Linked DNA regions of Schizosaccharomyces pombe. The protein of the gene in region 1 purifies or fractionates together with the protein of each later gene. This does not show direct contact. Each region holds a gene or a part of one and is shown in the gene's direction. Other genes may lie near its edges.

What was found. The genes of interacting proteins can lie anywhere in the genome.
Region 2: the proteins of arg3 (region 1) and trx2 purify together in Schizosaccharomyces pombe (affinity purification with western blotting, with the first as the bait; one study listed by BioGRID). This does not show direct contact.

What each region holds. Positions count from the first base shown.
Region 1 is NC_003424.3:2,269,225-2,277,686, forward strand, and holds arg3 (ornithine carbamoyltransferase Arg3), read left to right. Parts: upstream 1-4,696; 5' UTR 4,697-4,787; coding exon 4,788-5,771; 3' UTR 5,772-6,292; downstream 6,293-8,462. Other genes in the region: DNA-directed RNA polymerase III complex subunit Rpc2, read right to left, coding at 1-298; arg11 (N-acetyl-gamma-glutamyl-phosphate reductase/acetylglutamate kinase), read right to left, coding at 795-3,452; cmb1 (cytosine-mismatch-binding protein 1), read right to left, coding at 6,354-6,953; idn1 (gluconokinase), read left to right, coding at 7,975-8,462. UniProt on the Schizosaccharomyces pombe protein: Ornithine carbamoyltransferase involved in the synthesis of arginine from glutamate via ornithine and the urea cycle.
Region 2 is NC_003423.3:2,316,349-2,322,635, reverse strand, and holds trx2 (thioredoxin Trx2), read left to right. Parts: upstream 1-4,105; 5' UTR 4,106-4,168; coding exon 4,169-4,302; intron 4,303-4,358; exon of another isoform or gene 4,359-4,384; coding exon 4,385-4,652; 3' UTR 4,653-5,227; downstream 5,228-6,287. Other genes in the region: ATP-dependent RNA helicase Spb4, read right to left, coding at 304-2,089, 2,219-2,253; ubiquitin-like protein modifier for cullin Ned8, read left to right, coding at 2,380-2,397, 2,446-2,463, 2,535-2,647, 2,698-2,785; cyclin CycC-like Srb mediator subunit Srb11, read right to left, coding at 5,228-5,435, 5,500-5,866, 5,945-6,024. UniProt on the Schizosaccharomyces pombe protein: Disulfide reductase which serves multiple functions in mitochondria, protecting mitochondrial components against thiol-oxidative damage as a thiol-disulfide oxidoreductase, and supporting urea cycle and respiration in mitochondria in a manner independent of active site thiols.

The sequences.
Region 1 (8,462 bases):
TTAAGTAGAACCAAGGTTCAACGTCTGAAGTGACTTTTTCATTTGCTTGTACAATTTTTTTTAAATCAACATCAACAAAATAGTTATACGAGTCTAAATGCTGTTTAACAAGTCCTTTTACCTTTAAAAATGCAGGTAAAAGCTGCCATTTGTCTTCAATGGTGGGAACAGGGTCTGCAAGCTTTTTGCCCTTATAAACAGGTTTAAAGAGGGCTCCAAAACTCTCATCCTTCCCAATTCCACCTTTATTTATTTTGGGTTGGCTTTTTTGAGGGTCTCCGGCAGTATTTACCCCCATCGAACTCACTTAGTTGATAATGGCGGACGGTAGCAAAATTCCTCCCCAAAAATATACTTATGGAGGAAGCGTTAGTAATGCAAGGATAGAGATTTCTTATTACTTTGGGCTTATTTTTTAAGTAACATATATAATTTTAAATAAAGAAATAAAACTTATACGCAATTAAGATTATTGAAGCTTAACTATTTACCACTTTATTCTACGTACAAAAATTATTTCGTTGATGAAAATCTATACCATAGAAAGCAACTTCAAATCTGTTTATATAAGTTTTGAAGAGTCTGCGACGCACAGACAGAGGAATTTTGTATAACTGAACAAGAACTAAATTAAAATGTGTGGAAACTTAAGATGGTACTCGTACGCGACTTACTGCTGGCTATTTAATAGCAAGGATTAATGCATTTAGTTCAAAATATTTGTAACAAAAAAATATCCAAATGGTACACAGAAAGAATAAAAATAACAAAAGAATGGGCTACAAAAAATATAATCAATCCAAATGGATACCGGCATATTCATCGTAACCACAGGACAGATTGAGATTCTGGAGAGCTTGAGTAGCAGCACCTTTAAGTAAATTGTCGATAGTAACTACAATGACTGCACGCTTTCCAGAAGAGTGCACACCAAAACCACCAACTGAAACATGATGCTTGTGTGCGTTGTCCTTGACCAAAGGTACATCTCCTTGAACATGAATTAAAGGCTCACCATTATAACGGTCTTGGTATAAGTTACGAAGCTCACGGGAAGTTATACTTTTCTTTAACGGAACATTAATAGTTAAAGTAATTCCTTGGAACCATTGAGCAACGTGAGGAATAAAGGCGACAGGTTGCTTTAAACGATAAGAAATTTCACGTTCATGGATGTGATCAGTTAATGAGTAAGGTATCAAATTGTTTGTCAATACATTCAAGTCATTCTTCGGAGAGGGCTTAGTGCCAGCCCCAGAATAACCAGATACACCAAAAATAGAGGGCTGGCCGTCAATCAAAGAGAGTATGGGAGTTAAACCGACTTGCGATCCAGTAGCGTAACAACCAGGATTGGAAATACGTTTCGAGTTACGCAAAGCTTCACGGTCATTTAGTTCAGGAAGACCGTACTGCCACGAGGGCTCAAAACGGTAGTCCGCACTTAAATCAACAATGACACTTTTACCATTTGCAGACGTTAAAGCATCGACATAAGGTTTGCATACACCGTTGGGTAGGGCCATGACCCAAGCATCAACCGCTCCCTCTTCCTCTAATTTTTTAACATCATCTGTGGACAAGTTGACATACTGAATTTCTTTCTTAGTGTAGCCAGGAAGTTTGGTGCCTTCCAACTCACGAGAAGAAACATGAGATAATTCGAGATAAGGATGAGTGTTAATCAATCCAATCAAGTTCTTTCCGGTATAACCACGGGCTCCAAGGAGAACGACTTTTGCTGGCTTCGATGAGACCGCCTTCAAAGGTTTTTGGGTCTTCTGAGCCTCAGCAGAAAAAAATCGTTTTCCACCCTTTAAAAACAAAGAACGATTCATTTTTTTGTTTTTTGAAAATAAAGAACTAGTTGAGTAACTTCGTTTTTGATTGATCTGTGAAGAGGAAGGGTTGTTGGTGGTAGATGAAGCAGTAGGGGGTTTAGTGGATTGGGTCTGAATGATAGCATCGGCAAATGGCTTGTCAGACTGAATGAACTTGGAGATTTTATTCAAATCTTTTACACCGTACCAAAAGTAGTAAAAATTATTAGCAAACAAAGTACCTTCGCTTTTAGAGAAGAACCATTCCAGATTCTTGGCTGAAGGTTGAAGACGCCATAGCAAAGAAGGGAAGTCTGCTTTTAATGTTGTTAATATGCTATCAACAACATTGTTTAACCAATTATTGTCGGCGGCACCAAAAGCTAAGAGTACTGGCAAGGATGAGTCGGTGGTGTCGACAATAGCAACAGATTCATTGAAAGAGTCACTATAAATACGAAGTTTTCTGTCTTTCAGAGTATCCTTGAACTGTTTCAAGCTTTCACTAGGTGCGGCTAAAGAATTTTTTTGAATGATCAAATTTTCTAGAGCAGCGTCTGGAATGCTATCCAACGAGTCATGTTTGTTGATGACAAAACCGCGACTAATCAAAGTACCAGCGCCAGATTCCGTAAAAAGCTCTTTTTGCAAATCCTTCGTACTAATAATGGCTACGGAAGATGTACGGGGAAGAGTATCAAGTAACTCTTTGATTTCTTTGATTTTGAGCTTCGTACCATACTTGACCCATGGTTGCTTCATGAGGCCATCGTACTCCCTATCCAAATAGATGCTGCTAATTTTTTTCTTTGTTTCACCGTTGATAAGTCCACCTTTTTCATTGAGATAGACCACCTTTAGAGGCTTCAATACGCGAGCAAGCTCACCAGCAGTAATGTCGGCGTTGACATTCAACAATTGACCAGAAGCAGTTTCGGCCATAGACGTAAGAATAGGGAGGGTTCCAGCACGAATACTGTGTTCAATAGGAGCTTTGTTTACCTTGACAATCTTGCCAACATACTTGTATTTTTCTTTGTCGAGATACTCTGCCTGAAATACACCACCTGTAATGGGACGAGCACGAGTTCCCAACTTTTCCAAAGCATCTACAAGTTTCGCATTTTCCTCTAAGAAAACTTTACGAGCTACAGAAAGAGTCTCGGCATCGGTGATTCGAATACCATCGCTATACTCGGGTTCAACATTTCTGCTGGCAAGAATTTTGTTTAATTGGGGACCAGCGCCATGCACAACGATGGGATAAAGACCCACATGATTCAAAAAGGCAAGACTTTGTGCCAATGTGTCTAATTCGTCGGTGATAATGGCACCACCAACCTTGATAATAGCGAAACGTTGAGCTTCGAAGGAAGTAAAGTATCGTAGGTATTGCTCAACTTCACGACGGCTTCCGATGGAGGAAAGAATTCTAATGATGGCATCACGATCTTGTTCAATTGGTTTCGCGAGTGGGTTTAACGGTTGTTGTTGACCCGGGGCAAAACTGCCTTGAAAACGTTTGCTTGCAATGACTGATGCATTGGAACATAGTAAGCTCCTTTTCGTACAGTGTTTCGCTCCATTCCGTACAAGACCGGACTTGACAATTTGTTGCAATTCAATAAGCATTGCCAAATTCTAGTGATATTCTATGATTTACTGTAGTTGGTAGAAGGCAGTTTGGTTGGTTTCAAAATTGGAAAATCATTTGCTTCGTAAACGTAGCTATAATTCGTTAAAATTTGATTGCTGTATCTAGGGATTTGCTCTGGAGATAATCACTCAAAAAGATGAGATCGATAATGTTACTTGTTGGCTGAAAATTACATCGGAAACCAACAGTTTACATGAAAGTGCTGCAAACGTGAGACATGGACATTTAATGAATTAAAGCTATATAAATGACACTGTAAAAGCAACTCATTTGCCGACAATGAATCTATTTGTATATACATTATTTAATACTAGTCCTAACTGACACAGTACAATATTCATTATTTCTATGCAAGCCAGTTCAATATCTTGATTTATACATGAAAGCATTCTTTTGAAACAATATTTTGTTTTCTATTTGATTTCGCGTTGAATAGTCCCAATGACCCTGATGAGACAAAAGCACTTATCATAAAATTTATTATCTAAGATAATCTCGTTAAAAAAAAAAAAAAAAAAAAAAAAAAAAAAAATTTGGCAAGAAGCCCTTCTCTTTCGTTAAAACTTGTTTCGCTTTATGCAATACTGTAAGTGTAAGCTTGTAATATAGCGAATCTGTGAACTCATTGTTCATTTCATGGTAGTTGTTGATTTCACAAGCATGCTGAGTTATCAATATAGTAACACAATTGGTTTTATTTCAGCTCGCTTGAATATAGTGTCAAGAGATAATTGAATAAACAAAAAAAATAACTACACGTTTTTTAGATACATTTTATTTACAATGTATTGGTTCTTTAAAGAATGGGTGGTAAATAAAAAAAATATTACAAGGTCGAAAAAAATTCATCCCTTTTCATTAGTTCTATAATTAAATGCTAAACCCATGAATATTCTTTTACTGCTAATCAATTAACGATTTTGGTATTTAAAAGCTATTGCTGATAAGTATTCTGACGTTCTGTATCAATATTACCATGAATAACATAAGAAAAAGAAAGGAAATAGAATGTTTATGAGTAGTTTTTAATTTTTGACTTGTTTTATCATATTTCATCAACGTACTAGCTTGTTTGCAACTGAACTCTAGTGTACGATAATGTAAAAATTTTCCATCTCGTCGAAAATCCGCATACGATATATTACGGCGCCAATCTCGCAGTCTGAGAGAGAACTAGATATCGGCTATATGCAATCTCACCCTGAATATCTAAGAAATTACCAGTAACTTGTGGGTTCCTTGTAGTCGACTACAAAAACCGTATTTTTGATATATTTAGTCGAGAAGAATTATTCAGTTTGCAATTGAAAATGTCTTTCAAAAAATTTCCTCGTCATTTACTATCCATTCGTGATCTTAGTCGCGGAGAGATTGTAAAGTTGATCGATCGGTCTTCTGAAATTAAACAAGCTTATAAGCAGAATTTTCAGAATCGCCGTTCTGTTCAAATGAGTGGTTTGTCGTCTCAGAATGTCGCCATGATCTTCAGTAAGCGTAGCACTCGTACTCGTGTATCAGTCGAAAGTGCTGTCAGTTGCCTTGGCGGCAATGCCATGTTTTTAGGTAAAGATGATATCCAATTAGGAGTGAATGAGTCTTTATACGATACTTCAAAAGTTATATCAAGTATGGTTTCTGGTATTGTTGCTCGCGTAAACAAATATTCAGATGTTGCTACGCTCGCTAAACATGCCTCTTGTCCTGTTATTAATGGTCTTTGTGACACGTTTCATCCTCTCCAGGCGTTAGCAGATTTACTCACTATTAAGGAAACTTTCAAAAGCTTTGACGGTTTAAAAGTTGCATGGGTAGGTGATGCCAATAACGTTTTACATGATTTGATGATTGCAAATGCCAAGGTTGGTATTCATACTAGCGTTGCTAAGCCCAAGGACGTCAACGTTCGCGACGATATTTTATCAATCGTTAACGAAGCTGCGAACGAAAACGGTTCTACTTTTGAAATTGTTAACGACCCCAAGGTTGCTGTTAAAAATGCTGATATCGTCGTTACCGACACTTGGATTTCTATGGGTCAAGAAGCTGAGAAGGAACAACGTCTTAAACAATTTACAGGATTCCAAGTCACCGGAGAGATCATGAAGCTTGCCAAACCTAGCTGCAAATTCATGCATTGTTTACCCCGTCATCCCGAGGAAGTGTCTGACGAGGTATTTTATGGAGAGAACAGTTTAGTTTTCCAAGAAGCAGAGAACCGCAAATGGACCACTGTTGCTGTCTTGGAGGCTTTGCTTGTCAACCGTGGTGAAATTCTTCCTCCTGCCTCAGCCTAAACTGAAATCCTTAATTTCATTTTTATCTGGGGAATGTGCAAACAATGCCAACTTTATAATTTTTTTTATTGGGCGTGCAAATTGTGATATTCATTTTTGAAATTTTATGTACTTTGTTTCACAAAAAGAAAATTGACTTTTGAGAAAATTTTTTAATTGACAATTACTTTTCAGATTTTTTATGCGCAGGACACAGGCTTCTAAAGACGTACTTATACGTTAAAAAAGGGGATGGATCAATTTGGCTCATTAGTCCAACAAGCTTTGTGTAAAATTATTACCCGCTTAATGCTATCCTCTTAACTAGATATTTCAAGGTATCAAGCAATCATAGTATTAAGCACTATTATATGCAAAATACAATTTAAAATTAATAGAAACTACAAATAAGCGCAACACTCATAAGGAAAAAGCTTTGGGACAATAAAGCTTTCGTCAATGCGGAATCTACGACAGAAAGAAAACTTAGTGTAGGCATCGAAATTTATTATATTTCAAGCATGTATGCTAGTAAAATAAAACGTAAACTCATTGATTCAAGAAATCTATAGAAAAAAAAGATCTGGGCAAGTAGAGTGTGCATCATCGAAATCCGGCTTCTTTCATAAACTTATCGTATTGCTCTTTAAGTGCTTTGCTTTTATCAATAAATGGCTTTTTCTTGTCTTCCGCCAATTCCTTCCACGCCTTTGATGCATTTTGGGTCTCTTCAACGAGTGTGGAAATGGCTTCTGGAATACCTAACTCTTGACGTAGCTTGGGATTGTTTCGAAGCTCCTTGTAAAAGAGGATAAAAGCAGAAGAAGGTTTTTTAGGAACATCTGGATGACGAAGTCTGTAATAGCGACTGCCCGTGCTGTGAGCCTCCTTCGAGCGACGACGATTTTCACTATCGATTTCTGTAGGTGTAAAGGATCGTAGAGTCTCCATAAAACGCTTTTTCTCAGCATCGAACTGCTCCTGGAGTTTGTTTTTATACTTTTGGATCTCATCGGCAGTCAAAGCTTTGTATTTTTGACGAATCATCTCAAAGCGCTCAGGACCATTACCAGCACCTTTTGTTTCAACCAACATTTGATTCCAAATGGTTTTCAGCCTAGGGGGGATCAACTTCTGTAATCCATTCTTTTCGGCAGAAACGAGAGTAGTGTGAAACTGGCGTATTCTAATTGCAAATACCATTTTGTGAAAAATGATCAAAGATAATGGTGCTTGGTAAGTTAGGTAAGGAGGCATTGCGTCAAACAGACGCATTCAAGTACTGAGTAAATATCGGGTACGTAATATTGTACAACAGACAAATGAGTAGTAAAAAGACGGTTTACTCAATTTTTAATAGCATAGAATAAAGGCGTTAAAAGCAGTTTGTTTGTTTCTTGTAACCACAAAGGTAGTTTCTTTTTCTAAGTGAAACACTTCGACATTCAACATAACAAAGCGTTGGTCCACAGAATCAAAAAGGTACTCCAAAATGAAAAGGAAACAAACGCATCTTCATCTCTTGAGCAACAAAACAGCACTCATTTCTATACTTTTTCCAACCTTCCTTATATACCGTACCTCCCAGCACTCTCATATTCATTACTCACCATAGACTATATTGTAGCTGTGTATTTAGTATAAAAATGTTTCAGTGGAATCGTTGCTATTCACTATTCATTACAGTGTATTCTTTCAGCACGTTATTTTAATTTAATAAACCGAAATAACATGCCCCGGTTCTTCTTTTGTCATATTGGCATCTTGGGTTACTGAAGAGATGGGGTATACGTTGCTTCAATCTCATTAGTTCTAGAGCCCCTCTATACCCCGATTTCTAAACGTCAATCCAACTTAGTTTTAAGGCTGTCGGCCTAATTTAAAGTTCCTTTCTACAGCTACAAAATTTGTATTAAAGGGACGAGAAGCCCCCGGGTATTTGTTTGTTTTTAATAACATCTAGTGTGTATTAACTTTTCTTGGCTGTGTTTAACCAAGTCGTAAGTGTCTGCATTTTTTCGGTATTTCTTGCCGCTTACCACAAACTATAGTACCTTTGAAAAGTTGGCTGTTTTCCAGTAAATTTGCATCGCTTTGTCCGAGAAAGGAGCCTTTTAGCGCCATTTTGACAAAGCTTGTTTAAAACATCTCGTTCGATTACCACCAACGTGTGATTTTGTGATTGTACCCAAACTTTGAAATCCTCACAAATAATTCGATAACTATGACTGTTACTCCCATTAATCCTACTAATCAGCCATACAAATATGTATTTGTAGTCATCGGCCCTGCCGGTTCAGGAAAAACGACGATGGCTAAGGCGGTATCTGAGAAATTGGGTTTTGAGTATATTGAGGGTGATGATCTACACCCCAAAGCAAACATTGAAAAAATGAGTCAAGGCCATCCTTTGAATGATAACGATCGTTGGGGTTGGTTGCATAACTGCGGAGGTGCTTGTGCCATGGAACTTGACAAGGAATCGATAAAGGGAGTTGTGTTAACCTGCTCGGCCTTAAAGCGTAGTTACCGTGATATCCTTCGTAGCTCTTTGGAGCATCGTCCTGCAATTTTGCGCTTTATTTATTTAGCCGCTTCGAGAGAAACACTTATTAAAAGAACGACTAGTCGCAAAAATCATTACATGAAGGCTGACATGGTTGAAAGTCAATTGGCAATCCTTGAGGCTCCTACCGCTGATGAAAAGGATGT
Region 2 (6,287 bases), on another chromosome or scaffold:
ATTGAATGTATCTACTGCTTCAGTTGCTTAAAGTATTTTACTTCTTAAATATCAAATTGATCGCAGAATTATGTGTAGATAAACGCTTAATTGCATTTTTCACAAATTTGTTAAGTAATCGTTGTAAATGTAAAGTAAATATACAAATGCAGTAATTCAAAAATAAATGCTGATGAATAAGAACTTAATATTTGCTGAACAACTCCAATTAATCTTCCAAGTTCTCAAATATTTAAAAATACTAAAAGACTTTCCTATATTTCCAAAACCCCGTTTTTTTTTCCATTCCCTAAAAATACATTGCTACATACTAAATCCAAAGGATGCTTGATTTTTTCTTTTTTTGCTTTTTTTCAACTGTCGGTAATCCTCTTCTAATTCAGATAAAGCATCCGATTCCTCATCTATTAAGTCATCGTTTTCCGTTTCTTGTGCTCCAGCTTTTGATACTATTTCTTGTTTCAGGTTATTAGAAGCTTCGTTTTTCTGTGCCTTCAAAAATTCTTTCTTGGATTTCCTTTTTTCACGTCGGGTGTTACGCTTCTCCTTTACTTCCTTTTGTTTGGACCAAGCTTCGTTCTTAATTTTTGCTGGCCGAGCTAATTTTTTGGGTTCAGTTTTTTCGACTTCCAATCGGCGTCGTCTGGCCTGCTCGCGTACTTGATCACGGTATGGTATGGTTGCATAATCAATGTCAAATTTTTTAAAAATATTTTCGGATATTTCGGTGTCTTTTAACTCTGGCATTTTTGGAAGATGTAATAAAGCGTATGCCGTGGCCAACTGTCCCAAATCCAAATCTTTGATACGAAAAATAAACGACGCATGATGTTTTGTGTACGCACGAACATGTGAAACAAACGCTCTTAATCCCTTATCATATAGATCTCTGTCTTTGGATACGATTTTTCTCAATTCGTGGGTTAATACTTTAAGTCGTGAAAGATCTAAAGCTTCAATTGGAGTGTCTATACGAGTAATAGGTACCTTCCTAACCCTTAACAATTCCTCATATTCTTCTTCTCTTCCATCATTTAACAAAACTATTGCAACACCCGCTCGACCAGCGCGACCAGCTCTGCCGCATCTATGAGAAAAAGATTTCGGATCCAAAGGCGGGTCGAGCTGAAGAACAAAGTCAACATTTGGAATATCAAGACCCCGGGAAGCAATGTCAGTTGTAAAAAGAACTGTTTTTTTATTTGATTTCTTAAATTTTTCAAAATTACGTGATCGATTCGACTGAACTTGCTGTCCATGCAAAGCTACTATTTCAAACGGTAATTTATAAGTGAGAAAAAGGGAGTTAAAATATTCAACAGAAGCACAAGAAGAAAAAAAAACAATTGCTTTTTCGTATTCGATCGTACAAAGCAAATGTATCATACATTGTACTTTGTATATGGGAGGAATCACTAAAGATTGTATAGCTAGACTTGACGGTGTTCTTGTATCAATTTTTTTTGATGTAACTGTCACAGAAACACGTACGCTATTTCGAAGGCCAGCAATTTTTAAAAATGATGACACAGTGTCATTCATTGTTGCGCTAAACAACCCAGTTCGACGTTGTTTCGGAAGTTGAGATATAATGGATTGTAATGTACGCTGAAATCCCATGTCAATAAGGGTATCAGCTTCGTCTAATATTAGTATTTCCAAATGCTTACTGGATATATGAGAAAGCATTTCATTCAATCGACCGGGTGTACCAATCACCACTGAGGGGTTTTTTTCCCGAAATGAAGCTAAATCATTCGTGAGCGTTCCCTTTCCCCCAATATACATATCTGCAACGAGTTTTTTCCCTCCATCCAAAGAGTCTGGTTGGTACGCCAAAAGCTCTTTGGTAACATTGAATATCTGTGTAGCTAATTCACGAGTAGGTGCAACAATTAATGCACCCAAACCTGTTTCGTCCGTATCTCTACGAGTGACTTTATCGAAGCAAGGAAGTAAATAGGCCAAAGTCTTGCCTGAACCCGTTACTGCTTCAACTACCAGATCTTTATTTTTCAAAAATAATGGTATGGCATTAGCCTGAACGGGTGTCATTTTTTTAAATCCTTGAGCAGCTACGGCGTTCTTTCTAGTTTATGTTAGTGCTTGTAAATTGTTGATTTGACAAAATCCTGGTATCATTTAGATAATAAAAATTTTTGAACAGGTTAAACATGTAGCAGAACCTAAAATTTTTATTTTAGAATTGAAAACTTACAGCCATTTATCTATATTAATACTCTGAAAACTCATTGTCCCCTCTTTGAAGACCAATTCAATTTTTCGCGAGGTGAGCCAGAGGGGAATGCTTATAGGGAGAGAGAGGAACTGCTAGCGTTTAACCACAACAATTTCAGAAAAGCGTTTATAAAAGTTAGCATGCTTATCAAAGTAAAAGTAAGATAAATTTATTTCTTTTTTATGTATACTAATATATAATCATAGACATTGACAGGGAAAGAGGTTCGTGTTTTAAATGTTGAAAACATTTATATGCAGTTATAATTCATCTATGTTTCTAACCAAAATATAAGATCGAATTAGACATTGATCCAAATGACAAGGTTTCTAGGATCAAAGAACGGGTTGAAGAAAAAGAGGGTATCCCTCCTTCACAGCAGCGTCTGATCTACGCTGGAAAGCAAATGTAAGCACTATGGGAACATCCATACAATGATTCTAACAAACATCACGTAGGGCTGATGATAAAAATGCTGAAAGTTATCATTTAGAAGGAGGCAGCGTCTTGCATCTTGTGTTAGCTCTTCGTGGAGGAAGTTGCTAGTTGTTGCATACTTTATTTATAAAGAAAAATTATGTATAAAAAATCATACTTTTATTTAACGCTATAAACGAAATCTTTTTACTGTTTTACTAATACTAAGAGTAACGAAATGAGAATTGAGTCGCTTTATTATTGCTCTGTTTCATTTTATGTGAATCTATTGATTTGTATAAAAATATTGCTTAAGCTTTTCTAAACTTAAGACGTTTTGGTGATCATGAATTTCAGCGATAAGATTGATTACTTCTTGTTAATTTATGAGTAAAGTAGTCGTAAAGAGACGTTTTGCACAGAAAAGTCAATATATAACAACAATTGCTTGCGCATTCCCATCTGATATCAAAGTATATAAAGCAGTAGCATGCGAAGCAAAACTTCCTCAGTACAACATCGAATGTAATTACCATAAACGCAAAATCTCTAGTAAGACTAAAAGAAAATGTTGTTTAAATAAAACTAACTGCAAAATGCTATGTAGCAAAAACATGGGCTGTTGTGGGAATCGAACCCACGACCACCATCACCCTAAGATGGTATCATACCACTAGACCAAACGGCCACATTGATAGGGGTGCCACTTAAACATATATAAAGGAAATATACATGTAAATCTATATAAATTACATTTTTAAGGAGGAAAGTATAATCAATATGCTTATAAATTGCCATTTCAATGTATTGATTCTCATTTTTCTATTTAAGAAGTTTTAAATTTTTTTTGTTTATGAGAAAGTGACATCGGCTTTAAGGAACTGCTCTATTTAAAAGCAAGAGAGATTCATTTAATTATAAATAGTCTGCATAAAGCCAAATTACTATTATAAAAATTAAAAAAAAATGATATTCTTTCTTAATTTCAAATTAATTCTGATAACCGGATTTTCGAAGTTTTATGTAATCTTAAGATTGAAGTACTAGTTTTTATAATCGTGAGTACAAAAAATCCATCCAAAAATCTTTGGGCTGTATATTTAAGAACAAATTAAAGTAACTTTAGTTTAATCAACAAAGGTAAGGATTTATAAACTTCATTAGGTGTTTTTTAAAGTTATTAAAAAAAAAAAAAAAAAAAAAAAAATCTCTCAAATTGTTCGGCTACAGATTTTTTGAAAGCTTCTATTTTCCAATAAGGATTCTAATAAAATATAATAAAGAGGGAAAAATGATGCTAAATTATAATTTTTTTTATTGGTTTCCCAAATTTTTAATCTTTTTTTATTGAATTAATGTTGTAATAATTTAAAAAATATTGTATTAAAGAGTAATGTTTATGATCGCAACTAAGCACTTTTCTCCGCCTGGCGGTAGTTCTAGCTTACTAAGTGCTATAATTTCACCTATTTAAATTTTTGATTAAAACCGTCAACCAAAATTATAATTCAAATGCGTGGATTTATTGCAAACTCTTTAAAGCCGCATATGAGATCTTTTGCTCTGCGCAGAAGTTTTACTAGCTCTCGTATTTTGAGAAAGGTGAACGCAGTTGAATCGTTTGGCGATTACAATACTCGAATTAGGTATGTATAGTCAATAATATATCATAGTAAAAAATAAAAGATAAAACTTTTTCGAATAGATCTCCTTGCTAATTGCTACTAGTGCTGACAAAGTTACCGTCGTTGATTTCTATGCAGACTGGTGCGGTCCTTGCAAATACCTCAAACCGTTTCTTGAAAAATTAAGCGAACAAAATCAGAAAGCATCTTTTATTGCTGTTAATGCAGATAAATTTTCTGATATTGCTCAAAAGAACGGTGTTTATGCCTTGCCTACCATGGTATTGTTTCGTAAGGGTCAAGAATTGGACAGAATCGTCGGCGCTGATGTGAAAACTTTATCTTCTTTGTTGGCAAAATATCAAGAATAGAATATGGGATATTGGTGTCCCCATTCGTAAATTGCTTGATTTACTTTCTCGATTCAATTTGTTGATTGCACTGTATTATGTCAAAACTAGGTTTTAAAAACTTGACACGGCTTATTTTATTTAAGATTTAAGATTTAAGGGTTTTTACTTTATGAATTTCATTATATAATTGCCGGACCAAATTTGCTGAAATCAAAAATATCCTTTCAGAAATACCTAATAGGGGAATGTTCAACTCAATTAACACAGGAAGCTACAAGAATGAGCTATTTTATAACAACGTGAGTATTTCTATGAGGTGATTAAGGAATAATTTTTGAGGTTCATAGATAAAGCATTAATATATCCTTTACGTTTGTGACATAACCATTCGATTTTGGATATTATTACACAGATACTGCTCTATTTATTCATTTAGACATAACACCATGAACGAGAATGCGTATATAATACACGGTTTTAAACCAGACAACAAAACATAATTTCAGGCATTAATCAGCAATAAAGAAAAATCTAATTATAGTTTTCGTTTTTAACAAAATTTGAGGCTCTAAATGTATAGTGTATTCAAGAAGTTATTCAATATCCTCAAAATAATAAATAGAAATTATGCGTTGAACACATAATATAACTTTGAAGGCATCAGTACTCTTTATTAAATCCAAAAGCTTAGGAATTGTATTTTCATCATTGCAACAACTTATTAATAAAGCGGCATACGCAAGTTGATGAGGATGTGCCATTAAACATAAACTGCTGGCATATGAATCGTTAACAATGCTCCTATTTCCTCGATCGTTAGAAAAATCTAATCGACTGTGATTTTCAATATAAGAAGTATACATACCAAGCAAACTCAAGCTGCTTTTGATTGATAATGCCATCATGAAATGCTTGCTCAAGAGAAGTGTAGGGATGGTGAACAATGAGAAATGCATCAAGGACTGAAATGATTTCAAATTCTATTTCGGAAATATTAGAACGACTAAGTTTAACTTTTAGGCTCCAGAGATCATTAGCCTCATTGCAAATTGTGCGAATGTGAACAGGGCATTCTTCCACTTTGCATGATAAATAAATGCATGTAGCCACTAGCGCCTCCAAAGAAAAACCCTTTTCCTCATTTTTTTTTAGCATGTAACGCCTTAATAAAACGATGGCTGTAGCTAAGACACGCTGCCGAAGCCTGAGCCTGTCTCCAAACGTTTGTACAACTAGAATTGTATCAGCAAAACGAAGTGTAAATGAAATCACAAGCTAGAATAAGCCGAAAAAAATTAATGAAAATATACCTTTCCATTGATATATTGTATCTTTAGATAAGCAAGTTGGTTCCAAAGATTCCAAATCTGTGGATAAGAATAATTGTGTTCTGTAAGGTCAGCTTGAAAAAGTATACTAAGGAATAATAAAGGTTCGAAGATATTTTAAACAAAAACTAACAAAGAGGCTAAAATCGCTTTAAATTAAAGTCAACGAAACGAATGAGAAGCCGAAATAAACTGTGATTGCAAGACATTTGCGCAAAATGACTCAAACAAGATACATCCAGTTTAGTCGATACTCGTGACTAGAAGTAGACAGAAAAGCTATTCCTCTGATCAGTAATTAGACGTAGATCAGCTCACTCGCAAG